3 linked regions of the Lytechinus pictus genome follow. The protein of the gene in region 3 binds, or shares a complex with, the protein of the main gene of each other region. Links are inferred from orthologs where the notes say so. Each region holds a gene or a part of one and is shown on either strand. Other genes may lie near its edges.

Region 1 (8,062 bases), on a different chromosome or scaffold from region 3:
AACATGATTAAAAGACCAAACATATTGGTTTCCTTTGGGTCAGTGTAAAAAAAAGAATGAAATAGCTAAAATTAAATCAAAAATAGTTGAGCATACCCTTTGTAGCTATAGTTGATATAGACTTGGCAGACCTGGTATCCCATATCCTGATCGTCTTGTCTCCCGATGCGGTCACAAACACATCTGGATTTCTGGGATGCCAGCACAACTGATCCACACTGCCGACATGACCCTTGTACGTTGCTTCTCTGGTCTACGGTGAAGAAAAATTCATAACAAGAAAACTATGTGCTGTCTACAAGAATCATCTGTAGTTGAACATGAAGAAAGATTTGATTTTGTTTCCATTGAATGCAATATTCCTGGCAAGCATTCCTTCCCTCACTTGCCTTGAATGGGTGCATTGACCATGGGTCTTTCTCAGAATTATTCAACAAATAATCTGCAATAAAGATGGCCCATGTACCAGTACCTTTCCCACAATCTAGACTTAAACGAGGAATACGAGTACATGTTTTGCATAATCCGGTCTAAAAAGTGCTTCAAGTTGGGTGAATATTCAACTTAAAGAAAGGTCTACTTTATACAACTTGCAAGTTCACATGTATCTTGAATTACAGGGATCATAAGGGATGTACTACTTTGACTTACTTTAGGAACTTCTAGCTTCAAGCTATTAATCAAGGCCCTGCTCTATCAATTTTTTTCCCCTCAATATTGTTGCTGTTGCTGATCGCATGCTGCACCTCTGCTTAGGAAAAAACTTAGCAATATGGCAAATGCATGCCATTAGATCCATGTGCAGGCAATTGGCAAAAATATCAAAAAATACAAAACTTCGAAATTGTGAAAATAGCAGAAAACTTTGATTTGCGCCTTGAATTTATTTAAATGCTAAACATCTGCTATCATGGATATCAATGTCAAATAACTGAAAATGGCAAAGAACTTGGTCGGGTCTCAGAGTCAGACTTGTCCCGAAGAGACAAGTAGGGTCTAAAAAAAAAGAATTCCACTTCTTCTACTTCCACATTAACTCTAACTAAACTAAAGCAAACTAGATAATTTTGACATACGGTTTGACAGTTTATTATTGATGCTGATATCAGTTATAACTTGAGCAATCAAATTGTCTCAAACAAATTTTAATCCTTTTTTAATCTATTTTATTCATTTTTTTAATTCCTAAAATGTCTTATTCAATTGTGCCTAATACATGTATGACCATTAGTTCTCGCGTTCGTTCACGGTATCAATCGGCCATTTTGTTTTCAATTTTGAAAGCGAGAGATAAAAACGCAACAAAGAGGATCTAGATCTAAAGTTAGATGTAACTTTTCCTTTTTTTGAGGGTCAAGTTTGTGCCTCAATGTCAGGATTCTGTGTTTAGATAGACCTTCATCCATATAGTGCGTCTTTTTCGGTAAGTAATGCGATCTCTAAAAGTTCACGACGGACTCCGCCATCACCACGATGTTGTAGAGAAGGTGAATATCATCGTAAACAACCTCGAATAGTAGTGCGTCTATTTCGGTGAGTCATGCGACCTCTAAGAGTTTACGATTACCTCCGCCAACACTACGATGTTGGGGAGAAGGTGAATATCATCGTAAACAACTTTGGATAATAGTGCGTCTTTTTCGGTAGGTCATGCGTCCTCTAAGAGTTCACGATTGCCTCCGCCATCACCACGATGTCGTAGAGAAGGTCAATATCATCGGAAACAACTTCAGATTGTAGTGCGTCTATTTCGGTAGGTCATGCGTCCTCTAAGAGTTTTACGATCACCTCTGCCATCACTATGATGTTGTAGAGAAGGTGAAGGTCAAGTCAATCTTGACGTTCATATGCCATAATAATCATTGTAATGATTGTGGGCATTAACGGAAAGACAAGACAAGACAAGAAGAATATCATCGTAAACAATTTAGGATAATAGTGCGTCTATTTCGGTAAGTCATGCGTCCTCTAAGGGTTTACGATTACCTCCGCCATCACTACGATGTAACTTGTAGAGAAAGTGAATATCATCAGAAACAACTTCGGATAGTGTCGCGCGCTGCAACGTCATTATCTTCTTTTCCTTCCTCCGATTATGTCGGAGATCAAAACAAATCATCATCTTCTTCCTCCGTAACGTTGGGGAAGTACAATAAGAAACAAGATGGCGGCGTAAACATCGGGCAAGTCTCTTCCGTCTTTTCACAATATTTTTTCATTTTTTTGATGAATTCTTGTTTTAAAAATAACAACGAGAACGTAGAAATGTCGGAAATGAAGTTTTATCCCATGTACATGATTTAGAGCTAGATCTTTTAGAAGGAAAGTAGAAATCTCGGAGGTGAAAGTTTCAGGTTTTGGCTTCCTTTGTGTGGGTCTATGAGATAGAAGGCCTGGCTTCGTATGAGAGTAACCTTACGTTAGTAAATGATTTTTACTCTCTAGAACTAGTACTATAGTAGAAGCCGCCTGGCTAGGTGGGCAGGGGTATCGTAGACAGCAAAAAAATTCCATGGCATGAGCCATGACTTTGAGAACACACGAGAATCGAAAATCATGAATTGAATTGTATACAAATTGATTTTAATTCTAGCTAACAAATTTTATTTGTTTATCATACATTTCAGAAATATCCCGCATATAGCGAATAATAAAAGATGGGCGACACGAAAGACGGTCCTTGGGCTTGGTCCTGCAAGACCCTTTCGTGTAATCGGCCAAGCGGGCCGGTGCTCCCTGGGCCTGGGTTAGCGAGATAAGATTAAGAGTGCAGCGACGCGACACGGCGCGGCATCGGCAGTCAGTCATATTCAGACATAACTCACCATCCTATCTCTATCCAGCGAAAAGACACAAACATTTCTATCAAACGATCCGGATGCAAGCATAGTGCCATCACAATTCCATGCTACAGAGTGAACTTTCGATGAGTGAACCCCATTATGTTCTTTTGTTCGACAATTCTTCTCGAAATGTTTTTTAATCATGTTTTCTGTGGAAGCTGCCATCTTGATGTATGGTACGCTAATTTGGGGATTCCTATTGAAAAGGTGAATGTATCGTAGACCCATTATTTCTCGTCATTGATGATAATGATGATGATGATGATGATGGTGATGATGCCCGGTGATGATTAGACCACATTTAGAGTATGCACATGCCGTATTGAGTCCTACTTGAAGAAACATATTCATGCACTAGAAAATGTACAAAGAAGGGCCACTAAATTGGATTATGAGGTTAAAAAAACCAAAAAACAAACAACTTCCATACGAACAAAGGTTGATCCTGAACTAAATTCCCTACTTTGACATACCGCCGTGCGCGAGGGGATATGATTGAAACTTACAAGTTCCATGCAGGAGTAGTGCCAGATCTGGGTCAGTTGCATGGGACTATCGAGGTCATGATAAAATAATTGTTTATCTCATTAAGATCAGTCACTGAAAAAAGAAAAGAAATCTTTTTACATTAGAATGAGAAAACCATGGAATAGTCTCAGTAATGAATTAGTTATGCCCCCATAGTGTCTTTGAGAATGGACTGGACAAGATGTGAACCAGTGAAGTTCAAGTTTGACACTGACCCACCAGGACATGATCCGGCCAACCTAAAGAGGAGAAGGAATTTGAAACTGAATGCAGAGTCATAATGACTTCGTTCAGTTGTTCCATAAGTATCCAGAAGTAAGTATGATAATGATATGATGATGATGATGATGATGATATGATGATGATGAGGAGGAGGATGATGAGGATGATGATGATGATGACGATAATTATCACAATCAGCACTCTCATCACTGTCATCATCATCATCATTGTTATATAGGGCCTATATTTTTTTATATAAACAAAAACAAAGAAGGGTACAGAAATGCATGCATGGTCAGATAGGAAGACTAGGCCTATAATAAACCTAAGAGAGAGGACGGTAGATGAATGATAGGTTTTCCCGCTCAATTTCATCTAAATAATGTAATTTAATTTAATTTAATTTTGCGTTAGCCATGATCACCTCGGTTATTTGTCAATGTATTTCATTACTTGTCACTTGAATGTATTTTCCGCTTAAAATAACTATCAAACAAGTCACTACTGAGAATTTAGATAAGCAGCATAATATGTTTAACGAATTCGCAAGGATAACCATTTTCCCGCACTTTTGGTTCATTATCTCTGCAAAATATTCTTCTTCTAGTAAGTGTATCACCCGAATTGGTGCATTTTTATTAATAGCATGCAATTAAAGGAATGGGCATTCATAGGTCTACTTTTCCTGTTATAAAATGTACTTTATAGAATAATAATGTTTTCCTAGAATAAAGGCACCGCGGATTGATGGAATGGAGCCATATAGGCCCCTTCCAATTCCCTTCCAAATCCGTCATGCTTGACAATTTGACATACAGATGATCACCCATGAAATTGACTAGAGTTGAAAGTATTATCATACAGGGACACGTCAGCGGTGGATCCACTTTTGAGAGGCACAAAATATTAGGTTTTTTTTTTTGCTGGAATGTGTCATGCATAGGCAATTTGGGGACCCATTTTTTACTTGTCAAATTTTTCCTTAATTGCACAAACTCGATTTTGTAGTTTTTTTTTCAGGTTCTCATTTTTTTTCTGTACAAAATGCCCCCCCCCCCTTGGAAGATCTTGGATCCGCCCTTGGGACTTGTAATAAACTTGAAAAGAACAAAAAAGAAGAAAGTAAATATCAATGGAAATGCCCACACAGTCAGCATTGTCGGGTGAAAAGGAAGAATATATAGAATAGCCCTTAACACCTTTGTAAAGGAAACGCAAAAGTTGCAAAAGATGCAATATAAATTGTTTTTATGATGAAAACTAAGGATATTGTGGAAATTCAAATTTGGGCTAAACAAATAGCCACAATTCAAACAATTCTGATTGTATTATAAACACATGTTTATACATTAATATTAGACACATATTATGAGCATACAGATGCCATGCAAAACAAACGATTTGCGCATCATTAATTTGAACTCTCAAAAATGAAATTGGTTGCTCAAGGTATCGGTCATTTTTTATTTATTGATTGCGCAATTTCTGAATTTCCGACATTGCCCAAAATTAAGAAGTACATTCGTTAATTTGTAAGACCATTAGCGAACCTCTTTGCCTTAGAACGAAATCTAAATCACTGATGACACATTTTGAAATGATCAAATTTGAAATTGTATTGACCATAGCTTTTTTAATGATTATAAATGAATTCTAGTGTCTTTAAATGAATCCCATTGTCTGCTCTTCGGGAAAACGTTTACGTGTGAATTTAAATGCACATAAATAAATCCAAATGACTCCTATATGAAATTGGACGGTCTAAAACTGGAGAAACGTAGAAAGAGGTAAAGTAAGTCTCCCCGATGTTATTCAAATTCCATTTTAAATATCCAAATCCTTAAAAAAAGCTTTTTATCATATATACGTACAGGCCCCTCTGTCCCCAAAGTATACCGTTTTATAACAAACACACATGATATTCATACTTTCAATAAATTCTCTTCACTCGGCTGAATAAAATTCTTCCGATTTAATGGAATTTTCAATATTTTGCTTGTTTCATTTTTATCCCTCCTGTTTATATATTCAATTCAAATTGTTGTTGGGGTAAGACTTTTGGTCTCTGATAAAAACAATGCCTTAAAAAAAAAAAAGAAATCCGTGCAGCCAAAAAAGTTTAATAAAGAGTTTATTTTATTGATGTGAATTATATGAATTTATAACAAAAATCAAATACAAATGACTCATTTTTTCTATGTAAATGATATTAAAAAGTATGTTTGAGGGTTTGAGAATATAATTATGATCGAGAGACAAAAAAGGATACTTGCAAAGGAGCATATAAACGCCGGGCACAATGGCCATATAATCGAGGTTTCATGATAATAGCAATTTATCATGAAACCTCGATAGTTTTAACCCATGGGTTAAAACTTAAAAGTTCCAACTAGATTTCTGTTTTTTTTTTTCAATAGAACATTAGCCTACCGCGGCGACTTTATGTTTTCAAAACTTTTTCCTAATTTATTTAGAAAACCATTTCCTGGCCCTTTCTAAACCTTTTTGACCGGGCCTTCTGAAAATGTTTAGCGCTGAATTGTGCTGATCTAAATTTGAATATATAGGCCTTTACAATATGCCCCTAGACCTCCAACAATTTTTATTAACCTCAAGTCTGTCAAGTCTTCAACCATTCTCTATAAAGCGGTCGAGCGCGACTGAGCGCGCGCTTCCGAAAAGTTGGATTAGAAGATGACGTCTCTACCACTAAAATAGATCACTGCTGACCTACCATCTCACCAGATCGAGGCTGCTCAATCAGGAAAAAAATACTTGCGATTTGAGAAAGAAATCATGAATTAAAAGAAATATCTTAAAAGGGAATGGGAGATGAGAGCTAGGATAGTCAGTATCTTTAATTGAAAGCAAGTGAGTTATTCTAGCATATATCAGCATTGATGGATCTCTCCTGGCCAAAAAATATATTATATCAGTTATCACGGTACCATGTACCATTACGATGAAAGAAAGGTGAAATAGAGGGCAATGGACGAATCCATTAAATTGTATGGGGTTTCTTTCTACGAGAGATATATTGTGTTGATTAATTCACATTGTTTAACTTATAAAATCACGTTTATTTTAATGACATCGTATTTCAATAATCTCTTTCTTTTTACTATGATTTTTATATGGAAAATAAGAACGAATATTAGTTTCAGAATGATTTATGTCCCCGGTAAGTCCCTCGTAAGTTATCGTTGTGACCTATACGTACTTCCGGTTGAGTCGTATACATATTGCATTTATTTGGAAATCGCGAACTTTCATCACATGGGCGAAATATCAAGACGTGCTGTGTCCAACATATTGTGAAAGGCGATTGTTTCATATTCTTGATTTTCGATGCAAATCATTTTGGAACAGAACTGATTTGAAGTTAATCGACCAAGATCCTGAATAGGTTTGATCGTGGAATTTTGTACTGTTAAACTTCAAATATACAGTTCAAGACGAGCCACACGCTGTTGTCGATACAGCGTGTTGGGGCCATTGATTGAGTTTCATTCATTTGTTGCAACCAACCGGCATTGGAATTGCATTGAATAGATCTGCAGAAGGCCAAACGTGTGCAAATAAATAAGCACACTCAAAGCTAGGCAACAACCTTGCCAAATCTGATAATATAAATCAACACTTTAGTCTTGTTATTGTTAGTGGAACTAATTATTGGTGAACAAGAGTGTTGATTGGAGAAAGAGAGACAAGGAGTAGGAACAGAATAAGAGAAAGATGTCTGCACAGGAGGAAACTGCAGCTGACAGGAATGTCGAAATATGGAAAATCAAGAAACTGATCAAAAGTTTACAGGCAGCAAGAGGGTATGTTCTCATTATTGAGTAGGCAATGAATGGTAGGGTCATGAACTGTTATTGTCTTATGAATTGGCACTCATCATGCTCATTCAATGAACAAGGTTGTGATATATTATAACCTTGTTCTCAGTTAAAATATATCTCCATGTGTGGCAAAATAAGGATGGCAATGTTTGGCTTATTTTCTCTTTTTCTTGGGGACAAATGCTTGATTTTTTTACAAATTACACTGACAGTTTCCATTACACCTATTCGTCATACAACTTGGCCCTTAAGTAAATTTGATTCTTTAAATTATTTTTTTCTTAATTAGAAATAGTGATAAAAAATGAAAATTTTCTTGCCATATTATAATTATTTTCCACCAATAGAGGGCGTACACAAAAATATGCCCAAAATTCAAGTTTTTGAGTGCTCTAGTGAATACAAAAATTATTCCCAAGTTACTAATGAAAAATAAATTGCAACTGTACGGAAATTAGTAATTTTGGTCACAAAAGTGATATTTTAATCATTTTTTAAAGTGTGTGCTCTGTACAGCATTGGCATGCCATAGTCCAACCTGTAGATTCCCCACAGGCAGGGTGGTTGCAGTGAACAAGTGATGAATTGGTAAGCAAAGTAGAACGAGTATACATTACAAGCAAGGTC
Region 2 (7,719 bases), on a different chromosome or scaffold from region 3:
TGGTCATGTGACCTGAAACTCGCACAGGATATTCAGTGGTACTTGATTAACCTAATGTCCAAGTTTCATGAACTAGATCCATAAATTTTAAAAGTTATGATGGTAATTCAACAAATACCCCCAACTTGGCCAAAGTTCATTGACCCTAAATGACCTTTGACCTTGGTCATGTGACCTGAAACTCAGGCAGGATGTTCACTCATACTTGATTAACCTTATGTCCAAGTTTCATGAACTAGATCCATAAATTTTCAAAGTTATGATAGTAATTCAACAAATACCACCAACTTGACCAAAGTTCATTGACCCTAAATGACCTTTGACCTTGGTCACGTGACCTGAAACTCGAGCAGGATGTTCACTAATACTTGATTAACCTTATGCCCAAGTTTCATGAACTAGGTCCATATACTTTCTAAGTTATGATGTCATTTCAAAAACTTAACCTTCGGTTAAGATTTTGAAAATAATTCTCCCAACATGGTCTAAGTTCATTGACCCTAAATTACCTTTGACCTTGGTCATGTGACCTGAAACTCAGGCAGGATGTTCAGTAATACTTGATTATCATTATGGCCAAGTTTCATGAACTAGGTCCATATTCTTTTTAAGTTATGATGTCATTACAAAACCTTAACCTTAGGTTAAGATTTGATGTTGACGCTGCCGCCGCCGTCGGAAAAGCGGCGCCTATTAATAGTCTCGCTCTGCTATGCAGGCGAGACAAAAATCTGTATTTTGGTGAGGAAATAAGTAGCTTCAAAGAAATACCGTAGGCCAACTCATAAACGGAATCTTAAGAAACCAGTATTTTGCATGAAACCATCAGTATTCTTCTCATTGTTCAGTACTGGATACTGAAAATTAGTACTAGTTGGCGTCTCTGTTTTAGCCCCCCCTTCTAAGGTTTTAACCATGATAGTTAACAAATGCGTGTATCTCCGATCTATTGCTTGATCACTCTTACCTCGACATCTGATACTGGTTTAGCAGTAGGTGAGATAACCTTCTTGATTTCAGGTGCTTTGACCTCCCTTTCCACCTCCTCCTCCTCTTCTATTTCTAATTCTACTTTTCTTGTGACAACAGCTTCTTCTTCTTCCCCTATATCTCCAGCATCAAGGTCCTAATGAAACATGTAGAAATGAGGAATAAATATACTCAAAGGTTTTGCTTTACACAGGGGATAAGCAAAGATGAGAGTCAATGATGTCTTGATGTCAAGAAATGTATTGTGAAAATAAGAGAAAATTAAAAATACAATAACTTTCATTATTTGATGTTCAATTTCAATGAAACTTGCAGTGAGAATGCATGATTGATCTTTCTCTCTTCATTCATAAGGCGGGACGTCAATATCCGGGAGGGGTGTGCAAACGCGTTTGCACGCCCTCATTACTTTTCATGCACGGGCTTGCACGCCACGAAGTTAATGAGGTTGAATTTGCATATCAATAGAGCACCCTTGCGATCATCGCGGAGTGACATAACGAGCCCGTGCAGTCGCGTTCTGGCACTTCTATTGTTCCCGGGCATTGGGATGGCAAGCCTAGAGGAATTTATTGGCGCGTGTAGAGAAGTTCCTTATCTCAATTGTTTGCCGTGAAATGTTGTGAGGGTGCAACTACTAGTACAATGAATGACGATGTGTGCCGTAATTAATTGGTTGGAAGGCGTGACAAGTATTCAAAGGGACAAGAACCTGGACGCAAAAATTTTGCTCCGGCGAATCGCTTATTCATGCTTACACCTTCGTCACATTTGCTATACGGCGGCCGTACGGCGAGTCAATAACAGCCGTTTTAACATTTTATGTACGAGCTACATAATGTGGTTTGTATAAAAATGAATAAAACGGCTGCATTCGACTCGCCGTACGGCCGCCCTAGAGCAAATGTGACCAAGGTATTAGTACCTGATGATGTGAGCTTCCAAAAATATGTATATAATTCCCGTAAATTCCTGACAAAGATGGAAAGGGAAATAAATTTAGTTTTGGCTACCAGCGGAAGTAAAATGCGATCCGTCAAAGCGTTCGATCAACCGCGGCGACCGCGCACAACGTCTACAGGCGCTGGACCCACTGAATCAGCTTGCAGAGCTCTGTTCGCTCCTGAAGATGTGACTACAACCGTGCCTATAACAATTCCAAAAGCGCTGACAAATACGGCCGCATTGTCACTTGTACTTGATTCCTCCGAATTAGTCCTCAGAAAAGTTTAGTCACGACTCAGTATCGTTCTTGCGGTATACCCGCACGCTTAATATCAGTTTGATAGATACCATGTGCGCGCAAGCATACACAATACAAGGTATTTGAGGCAGAGCTTTGCCGCTATGAAACAAAATTCTCTTTACGCTACGTATAGCTCCAATAGCTCTAGCTTTTGCAGTAGCCTACGCAGAATTTTTGAAAGGTAGAGTTCGAGTTCAATGAAAATTTGACAGAGGTTTTCACTCCCCCCCCCCCCCCATTAGGTCTTTTCATAACAAAAAAATTACAAGCAATTTTTTTTTTATCTAAGTGGAGGGGGGGGGGGGTGAACTCCTGCAACATTCCCTGACCTTACCTCGGTCATTAGTGGGTTTTCGCCCAGCGTCGTACGACGCTATCTACGACGTAGAACGATCTCTTTGTTCGTGCGTCCGTCGCGCTCAACTCTCGCTTGTAAGCAGTTTCGCAAATCGCTGAACGCGGCCGGATCCACCGGCTGGCATGGTTGGCATGTAATGTTGACACGCCAACATGTGCATTGTATATGTTCCTACTATGTGCACACAACTGGCAGTGCCATGTGTCTTGCAGTCGCGTCGTCGACCGAGCCATGCAACGGCTTTTCAATCATATTTCAATAATCATACTCGTTTAAACTTCTACTGTAACATTTTGAAATTATACTTAGCTTGATTTTAGTATAATTGAAATGGTACTCACCGAAAAAATCGCATTCGAGTCCATGTTTTGAAGCTTTCAGCTATCAGTGTAGTCAGAGTAGAGTACAACATGTGCATGCACGCGATGGGCGAATGTGTTTACATCGATCGGCTCAGCTTGCTCGCTCTACAAGCGATCTGATTGGCTGTTGACGGCTGTTGACAAATCCTACGTTCTAATGCGGACGCCCGCTAATTTGCGGAAGAACCGTCCGTGATTTGAGCTCAAGAACGCTCGGGCCTCTGTTTCCATGAAAGTTGGCGATTTTTGCACACGTACGTTCTACGTCGTACGACGCTGGGCGAAAACCCACTAATTTTGTTCTATGACGGCCGTGCGGCGAGTCAAAAACAACCGTTTTAACATTTTTTTGTTGTAATAGCTACAAACACGTGGTCTGAATAAAAATGGATAAAACAGGTGTTTCCGACTCACCGTACGGCCGCCGTAGAGCAAATATGACCGAGGCATTAGGAACGCAAAATAATGAGGATGGAAACTTGGATAAAGCAATGTTCATTATTCAATATTTGTTATGACTTCTCTTAATATCATGAAATGGCTGAGCAAATTACTTGTATATTTCTTAAAATAACTCAAAATGATGAAGAAACGAGTATTGATTTGAAATTATGAAATGATGAAGATTGACTTGCATTTTTACATTATAAATTTTTATTTTGCTTCTCAAAAGGGGGCATGGACCGACTGTGCCCCCCCCCCCCCGCCTGCATCCTCCAATGCTCATGGGTACTAGCATTCGTATTTATGCATACAACTTATTGAAATCCTCATCCATTCCCATTTCCCAGTCATGTTCTGTTCTTAATCTCCTTTGTTATTCGTTCTTTGAGTAGTTCGTAGTGGTCAAGAATTTGTTTAAATTATTCTCAAGACCCCAATGCACTTGATTTACTTCGTTTTAGGAAAGATAACTCTTAAAGTCCCTTTGAAGCTTTGAAGTGAATGCCCCGGAGCGACTTGAATGGGTTCGATTAACTACACCGTCTCGCATGTGTTGCGAACAAAGAAGGTGTGAAAATTACAATTAACAACTAACAATAGGAAGAATCCGTTTCAACTGAAGTTACGCAACGATCTCTGATAATCTCTAATTGTGCTTTCTTGACCCCAATGAATCCTCCCAAACCACATTGTCCAATGACGGAACTACTACAAGTAGTCAGCGTTTGTGAAAACGGAATGATGATCGAGGATGATATAATGGTGATGGTAATAATGATGTTGGTGATAATGAAGAAGGATAAGGAGGATGAGGATGAAAGCGGTGGTAATGATGACGATAATAACATTTTTTTGTTTTTTAATCTATAAACATAATAATGATGCACCCTATGAACAAAGGATATATCCTCTGCTCCGCCGCCCGCGGTGATGATTTATTAATGTTTTATGATGAATGTATTAATGTTTTATGATGATGACGGTGATAATGACAGTGATGAAGGTGCTGAGATTAATTATGATAATAATCCTAGTTTTGATGATTACAATGATTATGATTATGGCGATTGTGATGGCATGACAGTGGGGGAAGGGGCATGCTTGTCGAGATTGAATTTCATTTGAAAATTAAAGGTATGTCCTAGACTGAACAGTTTCATGAGTGTTTCTCACCAAGGCGAACTTCTACTTCAAGCTAATTACGGAGCTGCAACTCTCTTTAGTTGGTTCGCGATTCGACCCATGAACCTCATATACAGAGAACGAATGATCAATAACCAGGTAACATAATTGTATACGATGTCAATTATGGACGAATTTTTCTCCTTATGTCTTATTTATCGTATGGTTGACATCACAATGAGGCAAAATTTGATTGCATGGTGACTTCTTTAAAAAAATCCTAAGTTTGGGATTTTTAAGGGGAAGGTAACACTTATGCTGGATTTTCCCCAACAAATATGATTTTTGAATCTTGTAAGAATGATGGTTGAGTGAACAGGAATTGTAAATTTAGTGTAGCCTATTCATCTTGTAGACCTAAGCAGTGTGTTTTGTGAGTCGGAGTAATGTGATGGTACCTGTTACAAGCGAGAGGGCGAGATATGGTAAGACTTGGTTGAAAGGGCATTCATCATCTTTTTGTCATTTTACAAATTAAATTCTTATGTATCTCCACCCCCCCCTCAATTTCCCAGACCCCTCTCACTTCCTGGATGGTAGCCTATTCAAAACTTATTTGCCACTGAAGTGACCAGTGGCTGATAGTCATTTTTTTCTTCTTTTTATTGAATGATTACCAAGAAATTGACTTGATTATAATTTATGAAATACTTTATTGAAAAACTGAACGTTTGATTGATTACATTGCCCACTGAAATAGTTGATTTATTGATAAATTGTTGATTGATAGGAAAAGTTGATGCCCCAATTATCATTAATTAATTATCATTAATTAATTAAATTAACATTCTGCTCTGGACTTCACACGTACATGACAATAAAAATCAGTCACTCAACAGAAGGGGAGGGCGAGAGAGAGGGAGGGGGGCTAAAATGTTCTGTTGACCCTTTTCCCATCAACCTACTTCTCCCACTTACGTCAAATCTCACCCCCTATTTTCCTGACTCCAATGAACACATGACTGATTACGACCCTTTATGTGATAATCGCTTCTCTTCAAGTCGGATCTGACTTTTAGATAATAGATAATCTACACATTTTCGTTTCACGAGTCTTATTATGGTATCGGCAAAGTGAAAATAAAAGATCAATACAGTCGAGCCATAAGAGAAAAATTACGAGGAAATTAATTACGTGCAAGTCAAATATCTTAAGAGTTCAGAAAATTTTGAATACAATTAGAGCCAGGGGAGGGGGGGGGGACTTACGAAATAAGGTATACGGGGATGTGCCGCTGAAATGGGTCGCTCTTTTGGAAGAAATCTCCGGGAAATCTCTAAACATGGGGTATGGTTTTATGCTGGAAAATCCCTAAACATGCATGGCCCAAATTTTTAGATACTTGCTTTTAGATACATGGGTTCATGCCCCCAATTTTTGTCTCGCCCACCGGAGGTGAAGGCGAGACTTAGGGATCCAAATGTCGTCCGTCGTCCGTCCGTCACAAATCTAATGACACATAACTCCACAACCGTAAGTCGATTTTCAACCAAACTTGGATGGTAGATGGACTTGGGGGACCTGCATGTTATGCTGCAGTCAGAGGTCACCTGGTAAGGTCAAAGGTCATTTGCAGGTCAACCTTAAAGTTTATGTACAAGGCTCTTATGACAAGTGTTATTCCATCCCAGTCATTTCACAATGAAGTTTCGATATAATTCTCTTGCGTGCCCTCGCAAATCACGATATTTCTGGTCATTTTCATAAGTGGGCGAGACACAAAATTGCTTTTGCCTTGTTAGATATTGGCCTTAAACATGGGTCCATATTCTCGAATTTGGGGCGATAACCTTTTTTGGTCAAGTTTTAAGCCCTAATAATGCATATCAATTCCTTTCATAGGAAAAGCGCTCCTCACAATTTCCGTATATTTGGCACCGTTTGATACGCGTACCGCCTTGACCGAACTGTGCGAAGTCTGTGTGGTCTGTGTGTAGACGATAGACCGGCCGGCCCGTAAACACTATTTCTTGGGAGTGCATAAACTGTCATAATTTGGTTTATTGTGACATAATAAAATTAATCACTGTAATCAATTAATCACTGGGGGAAAGGATTAAAATGGTACCCACAAAATAAAGGGAAGTACACGAAGTGAAATTTTGTACTTTTTGCATGTCATGGATGAAGGGGGACATCCCGATAGACCGCGGGTCCGATAGACCGCGGGTCCGATAGTCCGCGGGTCCGATAGACCGCGGGTCCGATAGACCGCGGGTCCGATAGTTCGCAGTGTGTGTAAAATTATGATCAGATGTATCAAATGTCATCGAGAGGTCCAAAGGTCAAATGATACGAGACCATGGGGTTCTATCAGGTGCGGATCCATGGGGGGCCGAGGGGGAACTGCCTCACCCCTAGCTCAAAAAAAAGAGGGGGAAGAGGGGAAAAGAGAGAGAGGAAGATGGGAAAAGAAGAGAATAGAAAAGAGAGTAAGGGGGAGGAAGGAAGAGAAGAAAAAGAGAAAAGAGAGAGGAAAAGAGAGACAGAAAAGACGGGAAAAGGGAGAAGAAAAAGGGGAAAGAGAAGAGAAAAAAAGAGAGGAGGGAAAAGGAAGAGAAGAAAAGAAAGGAGAAAGGAAAAGGAGGAAAAAGAAGAAGAAAAAAGAGGAAGGAAGAGAAGAATATTTAAATAGAGAGGAAGATGAGAAGAAAGATAAGAAAAAGAGAGAGAGAGAGGAAGAGGGGAAAAGAAGAGAAGAAAAAGAGAGAGGGGGAAGGAGAGGGAGAGAAGAAAAAAATTAAAAGAGAAAAAGGGGGAAAGGAAAGAAAAAGAAAAAAGGGGGAAAAAGAAAAAAGCGGAAGAGGGAAAAGAAAGGAGAAAGAAAAGGGGAAGGAAGAGAATAATATTTAAAAAGAGAGGAAGATGGGAAGAAAGATAAGAAAAGAGAGAGAGAGGGGAATAGAGGAAAAGAGAAGAAAAAAGGAGAGAGTAAGGGGAGAAGGAAAAGGAGAAAAAGAGAAAAGAGAGAGGAAAAGAGAGAAAGAAAAGACGGGAAAAAATAGAAGAAAAGTGGGAAAGAAAAGATAGGGGAAAAGAGAAGAAAAGGGAGAAAGGAAGACAAGAAAAAAGAGAAGAAAAGGGGGAAATAAAGAGAAGACAAGGAGAGAGAGAGAGGAGGAAGGAAAAGAAGAAA
Region 3 (7,981 bases):
GCTCCGTCAGTAGCACGATCTTTAAAAGTTCACGGCGGGGTCCGCTATCACCACGAGGTTGAAAATAAAATGTAAATCATCATAAACGATGTAAGAGAGTAACGCAATGAGCTCCGTCAATAGTACGACCTTTCAAAGTTCACGGCGGCATCCGCTATCACCACGAGGTTGAAAATAAAATGCATATCATCATAAACGATGTAAGAGAGTAACGCAATAAGCTCCGTCAATAGTACAGTCTTTAAAAGTTTATGGCGGGGTCCGCTATCACCACGAGGTTGAAGAGAAGATTTATATCATTATAAACGATGTAAGAGAGTAACGCAGTGAGCTCCGTCGGTAATACGACCTTTCAAAGTTCACGGCGGCATCCGCTATCACCATGAGTTGGAGGAGAAGATATCTATCCTCTTAAACATCGCCATAGATAATACCGCGTCTTTCTCCCTGAATAATGCGACCTCTAAATAGCTAGCACCTCAAAAACAATCTTGAAATATGTTCTGAGCGATCACGCACTGTAACCAGATCTACGCCGATTTTTTTTTTCGATTTTTTCCTTCAAGGGGCATGATCGAAAATCGGCAAGTGATTGCCGATTGTGGTGAAATCGAATGGAATCGGTTGCCGATTGCAAAATCGGTTACAAGCTTAGGTCAGACCATGATTTGGACAAAGCCCTTTTTTCGTTTGCAAATTTTTGACTGATAATGATACAACAGAAAATTGATCTTTATCGATATTGGAAACAAAAAAATTAGAGCACAGTTTTGGGGAGGACTAAGAATACTGACTTGGACAGGAATACAGCTTGACATAAATAAAAATTCACAATTCAAAACGAAAGAACATTTTTAATGCATTGCAAGAAACTTTCTACTCAATCACACATTCCAAAATTAAGGGTATGTCCTTTCATTAAACACAAACATGTAGTTGATTTGCAATTGAACATAAGTTTCTTGCAATGCCCCATAATTATATTTTGTTCTCAAGCAACTGTGTTATATGTTATCTAATGTGCTGAAGGTTAAGTGCCATATATGTTCACAATTTTTTATTCGAAAGGTATGATATATTTGTCCTTTTAAACGGTATTTGAATGTGGTTACGCCTTGTTTTTGTTTTCCACAGTAATTATTGCATATATGAACAGAAGTGAAATATTTGTTGTGAAGCACTGTATGAATGTTGTGTGATCATGGAGCTATGGTGTGATGGTATTATAATTAATTAATAATTTTTGTTATAAGACTGTAAACCTGTTGGATGTGAGGGAGTGGCCTGGATGAAAGGAAAGTGAGCATGTGTCGAATTACTGATTTGCATATGTTTAGACAATTAGAAGTCCACCCCACCAAAAAATTAATTTGAATTTAAAGAAAAATAAAGTATTGCAGAGAATTTCATAAAAACTATGATTCAAAATTCAAAAAATTACTATTTTGACATTGAGAAATTTGCCTAATTTTATAAAACAATTATATGCTCATCTTGGTCAATGTGCAAATTACAGAACCGATTATGTCACACGCACTCTAATTTCTTGTGTATTTTTTTGTTTGATACATGTACATGACATGTATATTTTATTTTAATTTTCATTAACAAATTTTGAGAGGGATTTTAATTCCTCCATTAACATTCGTAGTTTCCATAAACGTAACCTATTGTGATTCGAGAAAGATTTTTTACATCAAATTTGCTAAAATTTATATAATAAAAATGCAACAAAAATTTAAAAAGTAATTTGATGTGACATAATCAACTCTATTTGCATACCATTGTTTTGTGTATATAACTGTTTTGTGTTAAAACAGGGAAATTTCTGTATTTATTCAAATACTTATGAGTTGATGTGCACTTGACCTTTAACTCACTTCCCTTCCCACCCCTGCCCAAATACTAAATAGGTGTAATCAAGAACTTGAAAATCAAAAGCAGTGATTAAGAAGAAGTAGAAGAAAGTAAAAAGAGAATAAAGCTGGGTAGGAACGATGAAGGAATATGATTTAAAGAAAAAGCATAAACATATCCCCATCAACCCCCCCCCCCCCAAAAAAAAAAAAAAAAAAAAAAAACACAATCCGGCGGGTTCGAACCAGGGTCCTTGCACACGTCAAAACATAGCGCACACGTCAAAACATAGAGCTCACGCAATTCGCCATCGATCTCTTCCGTACTATTTCCAGGATTTTTAAGCTATATATAATGTTGTAAGTCTGTGCGCCGCTGTTGACCAATCAGAACGCGTCGGCAATTCTACTACAATTCCAATCATTTCGCGATGGACATTGCCGTGGTTTTTTGTGGTTCCTGACTTTGCTACATCATGAAATTTCATAATTCTTTTTCAGTCGTAAAGAAGAATGTCTACGCTTTATATTGAATATAATATCAATTTGACGCAAGTGTGATTTCGATGCAAAAATGCGCTGTTTATTCACATATATTTCTTGAAAAAAAATCATTTTTTCTAAGCTAAATATCGGTCTTCAAAATACATTAAATGTGCATTTTATTTAGCTGATCAGAAATTTCAAAGTTTTATCTATAAAATAAGACCAATTATGTGAGGAATAAACGATTCTAAGAGCAAAAAACACCGATCGGAAAGTTCGTCTTCACAGCTCATTACGTATGCATAACCACGGACGGCTATGCATACCGGTACCGCTGAATAAAATAGAGCACTTTCGGACGGGCTGCGGACTGACTGAAAATCCACTACAAAAACACGTTGTCGTTGGTTGTGAATTGTGCGAGGTTCGGTCCTCGCATACAATAGCGTGAGTGGAATTGACCATGATTTGTTGTCGCCAGACTATGCCTGGCATAGTAGATATGAATGGGAGAGCCTATGACTGAGTATAAATGAAAAATTTCGTGTAAAAATAAATTGAAGTCTGATTTAATTGACAACTTACAACTCATTTCTGCCACATTTCTCCCAACTTTTACAGACTTCGTCGTTGATGAGGTAACGCGCCATGTTAAATGTTAAATGTATGGATATCGGATACAAAGCTAAAGCTAGCTAGCTAAGTGTGTATGCGGCTCGTTGAAACTGTCGACCAATAATAGCGACTAGAACAAATATGGAGTATTGCGTCTCCGAAATGATGCAAACAAAAGGGATGCCAGGGAAATTGTATTTCTCCGTGAGGATTAGGATGTAGGATTGTAGGAAAGGATGTGATATAAATTGGGGATAGACGTGAAATAAAGCATGACTTCCTTGACATTATTTAACTCCTCGAATTCTAAAAGTTAATTTTAATTATTATGGATGTATAACTATGAGGAGGCTATGAAGACCATGGGCGGAAATCTGTCCCGAAAGGTAGAGGGGAAAACAGAGGCTGATCCAGCCTTCGCCAATAGGGGGGGGGGGCGAAAAATGTTTTCAGCCAAATGTTAATCCCCGATCGGCCGCTTGAAGGTAATTTTTGTCTGTTTCATTGAAGGAGTAGTCCTCGATGGTCACTTTTTAGCTTTATTCTTATAAATCAACATAGATATATAATATCATTGTCCTTATTTTTATAATGCGAGCGCGAAGCGCGAGCATAATTTTTTTGGGCAAATTTATGTATTTTTTCCTAAAACTTGAACATTCTGGGCAATGTTTGTTATCCTGAAAAAGATGTATATGCAAGTAAATATTTACTACGAACGCAAAGTGCGAGCAGAGGTTAACTGGTGGAAAAGGTACATGAAAGACTGCTTGCAGTTCATATCGAAAACTTGCATAGTGTACCGGACATGTGAAAACATAGCAGACGACGTTTGCAGACCTCGCGATCATCGTATGACTAGTGGTGCAGAATGTTCCATTGCGGCTTTATGGGGGAAATATATAGCATTACAGAGGGATAAAATGTATACACAAATAATGTTTCAGCGTAATTTGTTGTGTCAATTTCATAAATTATTGTTGTTTGAAGATTTAAAACGTCATTATAAAGTGACAGGAATAAACAAAACTTATTTTTTAGACTTACCTATGCAGTGGTAAGCTAGGATATATTTATATCCATAGTTTGGACTGACAAGGTATATATATTTATATATTCCTAATAAAATGTTCAGCACTGCAATGGAAAGAGCTAGAAAACCGCTGTGACTCGAACAACACACCGACGTACAAAAAATCTCTGTCCAGCCCTATATGTTGAATGCACGTCGAGCAGTGGCGTAACTACGGGGGGCATGGGGGGCACGTGCCCCCCAATCGGCTGGCCCCCCCCAAAAAAAAAAAAAAAAAAAAACGGGGAAAAAGAGAAAAAGAGGGAGAAACTGAGAGCAACGTAGTGGGAAGGAAGAAATTATTGTTAATTATGTTATATTATATTATAATTATGTCATGTTATATTAAATAGAAATGAAAAAAATATCATAACTTTATGAAACATAATTTGCTCAGGGCCTATGTCTTCATTGTCCCTGATGCTCGCATCGTCTGTTTAACGAGATATATAATCCTGTTGTACTAAAACCTCCCGTTTTCAAGTCAATTCACCAAATATATTTCCTCGCACTTCGAATTATAATTGTTTTATGTAGTGACATATCATTTTAAGGTCTTAATATAAAACATTTCCCGTCCGTGCTCATGTTCGCATTAGTGGATTAGTGAGATATGTCTGCTCTTCATGAATTCCTAAAATCAGTCCTTAAAATTTCCCTTTTTCTGATCTGAATATCAAAAATTTCAGCTTGCGCTCGCTTCATTTGGTTAGTGAAATACGCATGGTCTACGTGAATTCCTACAAACAAGCCTTAGAATGCCCCTCTTCAGGTGTGAATTTCCTAATTTTTCAGCTCGCGCTTCGCGCTCGCAATATTTGACTAGTGAGATGCGTATGATAATCATGACTACAAAAAGTATGTCTTTAGGTGTAATTCTAACAAAATCATGCAGCATGCGCTTGGCACCCGCATTAGAAGACTATGGTGAGATATATGTACTCTTAATGGATTCTTTTTAAAAATAGACCTTAAAATATCCATGTTTGGGGTCAATATATAAAAAAATTCAGCTCGCGCTTCGCGCTCGCTTCATTTGGTTAGTGAAATACGTATGGTCTTCGTGAATTCCTACAAACAAGCCTTAAAATGACCCTCTTCAGGTCTGAATTTCCTAAATTTTCAGCTCGCGCTCGCAATATTTGATTAGTGAGATGCGCATGTTAGTCATGATTACAATGACTACAAGTGATTTATGTGTTTGGATGCATAAAATTCTAACAAAATCAGCAAGTGCTTGGCACTCGCATTAGATTACTATATGGTGAGATATGTATACTCTTAATAGATTCCTAAAATATAGTCCCTAAAATGTCCGTTTGGGGTCAATGTATAAAAATTTCAGTTCGCGCTTCGCGCTCGCATTGTTTGTTTAGCGAGACAGGTACATATCATGATTACAAAAATTTGCTTATAATGTCCCTTTTTAGGTCTGAATATCAAAAATTTTCAGCTCGCGCTTCGCGCTCGCATTATGTGACCAGTGACATACATATCTGTTTAATGACACTGTCCTTTAAATGTCTCTATTAGGTCAGCATACCTAGCAACTGAGCGCGCTTCGCGCACTCACTAAGTGACTCAATATTTTTGCTAGTGCCCCCCCCAATGCCATGACCCACGGTACGCCACTGACGTCGAGTGTAGGTTTGCTCTTCGGACATCACTATCACAAAGAAAATCTCCTCTGATTTGATGATAAAAGTGCTCTATTTCCTTATTAACCAATCTCCATGGTTCTTTCATGAGTATTTGCCTTACAATGTGCCCTTTATTATAATCTGGGCGGAAATTCTTGATATCATCACCCACCGATGTGACGACGGATGTAATCCACCCGGGTACTATAAAAATGTCCCCCTAACCCATTATCCCAATACATATTCCTGACTATGGATGGTTTTGAGTGATTTTAATGTAATAAAGTGCCATATTTCCCACCAACTGAATGTAAACAAATTATGGTCATCTGATAGAAGAAGTTGTTAACATTCATTTCAGGGGGGCGGAAATTCTATCTGAATCAAAGCTTGTCCTTGATACACATTTGTTTGTGAAAAAAGGGTATGATGCAAGGGAATTCTGCGTGTTATAAGGGTGCGCGCGTGCAGCGAGGACCTTCTGTCCGCTAGTTTTCCATATGGCCATGAAGACGTTACATATTTCAACAATCAAAATAATGCGAGCGCGAGCTGAATTTTTTAAAAAAATTTACCCAAAGACTGGAAATTCTAAGCACTTTTTGTAACTTAAACATATAATAGGTATATAACTAAACAATTGATGCGAACGCGAAGCGCGAGCGGAAAATTTTGAGATTTAGACCTAAGAACGAGAGCTCTATTCATGTTTTGTAAATCATGAAAAGGATGAGTAATTGGGGGTCTTCCTTACACCCGGTCCTTAATGCGAGTGCGAAATGAAGCCAGAAAACGTTCATATAGTTTACGTTTAATTTGAATCGATCGAAAAGGTACTTGTTAAGGACTGCTTGCACTTACCCATGAAGACGTTACATATTTCAACAATCAATATATGCTAGCACGCACGAATCGCGAGCCAAAAAGAATCGAAATTTTTAATCAATTTTTGTAATCGTGAACAGGGTAGCTATATAAGTATAACTAAACAATTGATGCTTGAGCAGAAGAATTCAAGATTGAGACCTAAAAACGGGACACTCTATACTCATGTTTTGTAAATCATGAAAAGGATGAGTAATTGGGGGTCTTCCTTACACCCGGTCCTTACATTAATAATGCGAGTGCGAAATGAAGCCAGAAAACGTTCATATAGTTTACGTTTAATTTGAATCGATCGAAAAGGTACTTGTTAAGGACTGCTTGCACTTACCCATGAAGACGTTACATATTTCAACAATCAATATATGCTAGCACGCACGAATCGCGAGCCAAAAAGAATCGAAATTTTTAATCAATTTTTGTAATCGTGAACAGGGTAGCTATATAAGTATAACTAAACAATTGATGCTTGAGCAGAAGAATTCAAGATTGAGACCTAAAAACGGGACACTCTATACTCATGTTTTGTAAATCATGAAAAGGATGAGTAATTGGGGGTCTTCCTTACACCCGGTCCTTACATTAATAATGCGAGTGCGAAATGAAGCCAGAAAACGTTCATATAGTTTACGTTTAATTTGAATCGATCGAAAAGGTACTTGTTAAGGACTGCTTGCACTTACCCATGAAGACGTTACATATTTCAACAATCAATATATGCTAGCACGCACGAATCGCGAGCCAAAAAGAATCGAAATTTTTAATCAATTTTTGTAATCGTGAACAGGGTAGCTATATAAGTATAACTAAACAATTGATGCTTGAGCAGAAGAATTCAAGATTGAGACCTAAAAACGGGACACTCTATACTCATGTTTTGTAAATCATGAAAAGGGTGAGTAATAGGGGATCTTTCTACATTAATAATGCGAGCAGAAAATTTTTGATATTGTGATCTGAAAATAGACCGCGGGTCCGATAGACTTTTTTTTTTTGTAATAATATTTATTAATCATTCAGTTCAAAGTAATGGTACATTGTAAAATATTACAAATCAATATTAACAAAACACTGTTCACGAAAGACAAATAATTATCCATAATACAAATAATCGTACATGTCATGGTATTGTGGCGTAACCGAGCTCTGTCGGGGTAGCGTTCTGCCGTCTCGCAGTCTCCAGAACCCGGTCCACGCTTCTCCCCCGCTTCTCCTCACTTATATACCGTATGGGTACTAGTATTCAACCTGGCATAATTCAAAGATTTCGACATATTCCCCAAAATTTTTAGAAATAGGGAATTTATCTTAATTTCACACCTTTGTTATTTCCAGGGTAATCTGTTGTCGATATTTTCTTTGTCAATCTGTCGACTGTATGCGCGGAGGATCGAATTATGCGGCGAGCGCGTTTCCGTTTTACACCCTGG

The links. Proteins that work in one complex are often made in the same cells at the same time.
Region 1: the proteins of THO complex subunit 2-like (region 3) and THO complex subunit 3-like are in contact, whole or in part, in a cryo-EM structure (PDB 7ZNL), measured with the Homo sapiens proteins. The link is inferred for Lytechinus pictus from reciprocal best matches to the Homo sapiens genes THOC2 and THOC3. Residues at the interface, in NP_001075019.1 of Homo sapiens: Tyr395, Arg396, Pro401, Lys402, Gly403, Ala404, Lys405, Gly406, Ser407, Pro446, Ile447, Ala450, Arg454, Cys500, Asn501, Ala502, Cys503, Met504, Glu506, Pro563, Arg566, Gln567, Lys570, His573, Tyr603, Leu604, Thr605; in NP_115737.1 of Homo sapiens: Asp193, Met196, Ile208, Val217, Gln218, Asn221, Ala222, Pro224, Ser225, Ala244, Asp245, Ala246, Leu247, Ser249, Trp251, Asp252, Asp254, Glu255, Leu256, Val257, Cys258, Val259, Cys261, Ser263, Leu265, Asp266, Pro268.
Region 2: THO complex subunit 2-like (region 3) and SAP domain-containing ribonucleoprotein-like share a complex: the UniProt entries of both Homo sapiens proteins name them as parts of the transcription/export (TREX) complex. The link is inferred for Lytechinus pictus from reciprocal best matches to the Homo sapiens genes THOC2 and SARNP.

What each region holds. Positions count from the first base shown.
Region 1 is NC_087256.1:25,213,938-25,221,999, forward strand, and holds the start of THO complex subunit 3-like, read right to left. Parts: upstream 3,036-8,062; 5' UTR 3,009-3,035; coding exon 2,826-3,008; intron 254-2,825; coding exon 97-253; intron 1-96. Other genes in the region: eukaryotic peptide chain release factor subunit 1, read left to right, coding at 7,329-7,417. UniProt on the Homo sapiens protein: Component of the THO subcomplex of the TREX complex which is thought to couple mRNA transcription, processing and nuclear export, and which specifically associates with spliced mRNA and not with unspliced pre-mRNA.
Region 2 is NC_087257.1:27,960,292-27,968,010, reverse strand, and holds the start of SAP domain-containing ribonucleoprotein-like, read right to left. Parts: upstream 3,036-7,719; 5' UTR 2,960-3,035; coding exon 2,936-2,959; intron 1,127-2,935; coding exon 968-1,126; intron 1-967. UniProt on the Homo sapiens protein: Binds both single-stranded and double-stranded DNA with higher affinity for the single-stranded form. Specifically binds to scaffold/matrix attachment region DNA. Also binds single-stranded RNA. Enhances RNA unwinding activity of DDX39A.
Region 3 is NW_026974140.1:1,412,835-1,420,815, forward strand, and holds the start of THO complex subunit 2-like, read right to left. Parts: upstream 3,078-7,981; 5' UTR 2,993-3,077; coding exon 2,928-2,992; intron 1-2,927. UniProt on the Homo sapiens protein: Component of the THO subcomplex of the TREX complex which is thought to couple mRNA transcription, processing and nuclear export, and which specifically associates with spliced mRNA and not with unspliced pre-mRNA.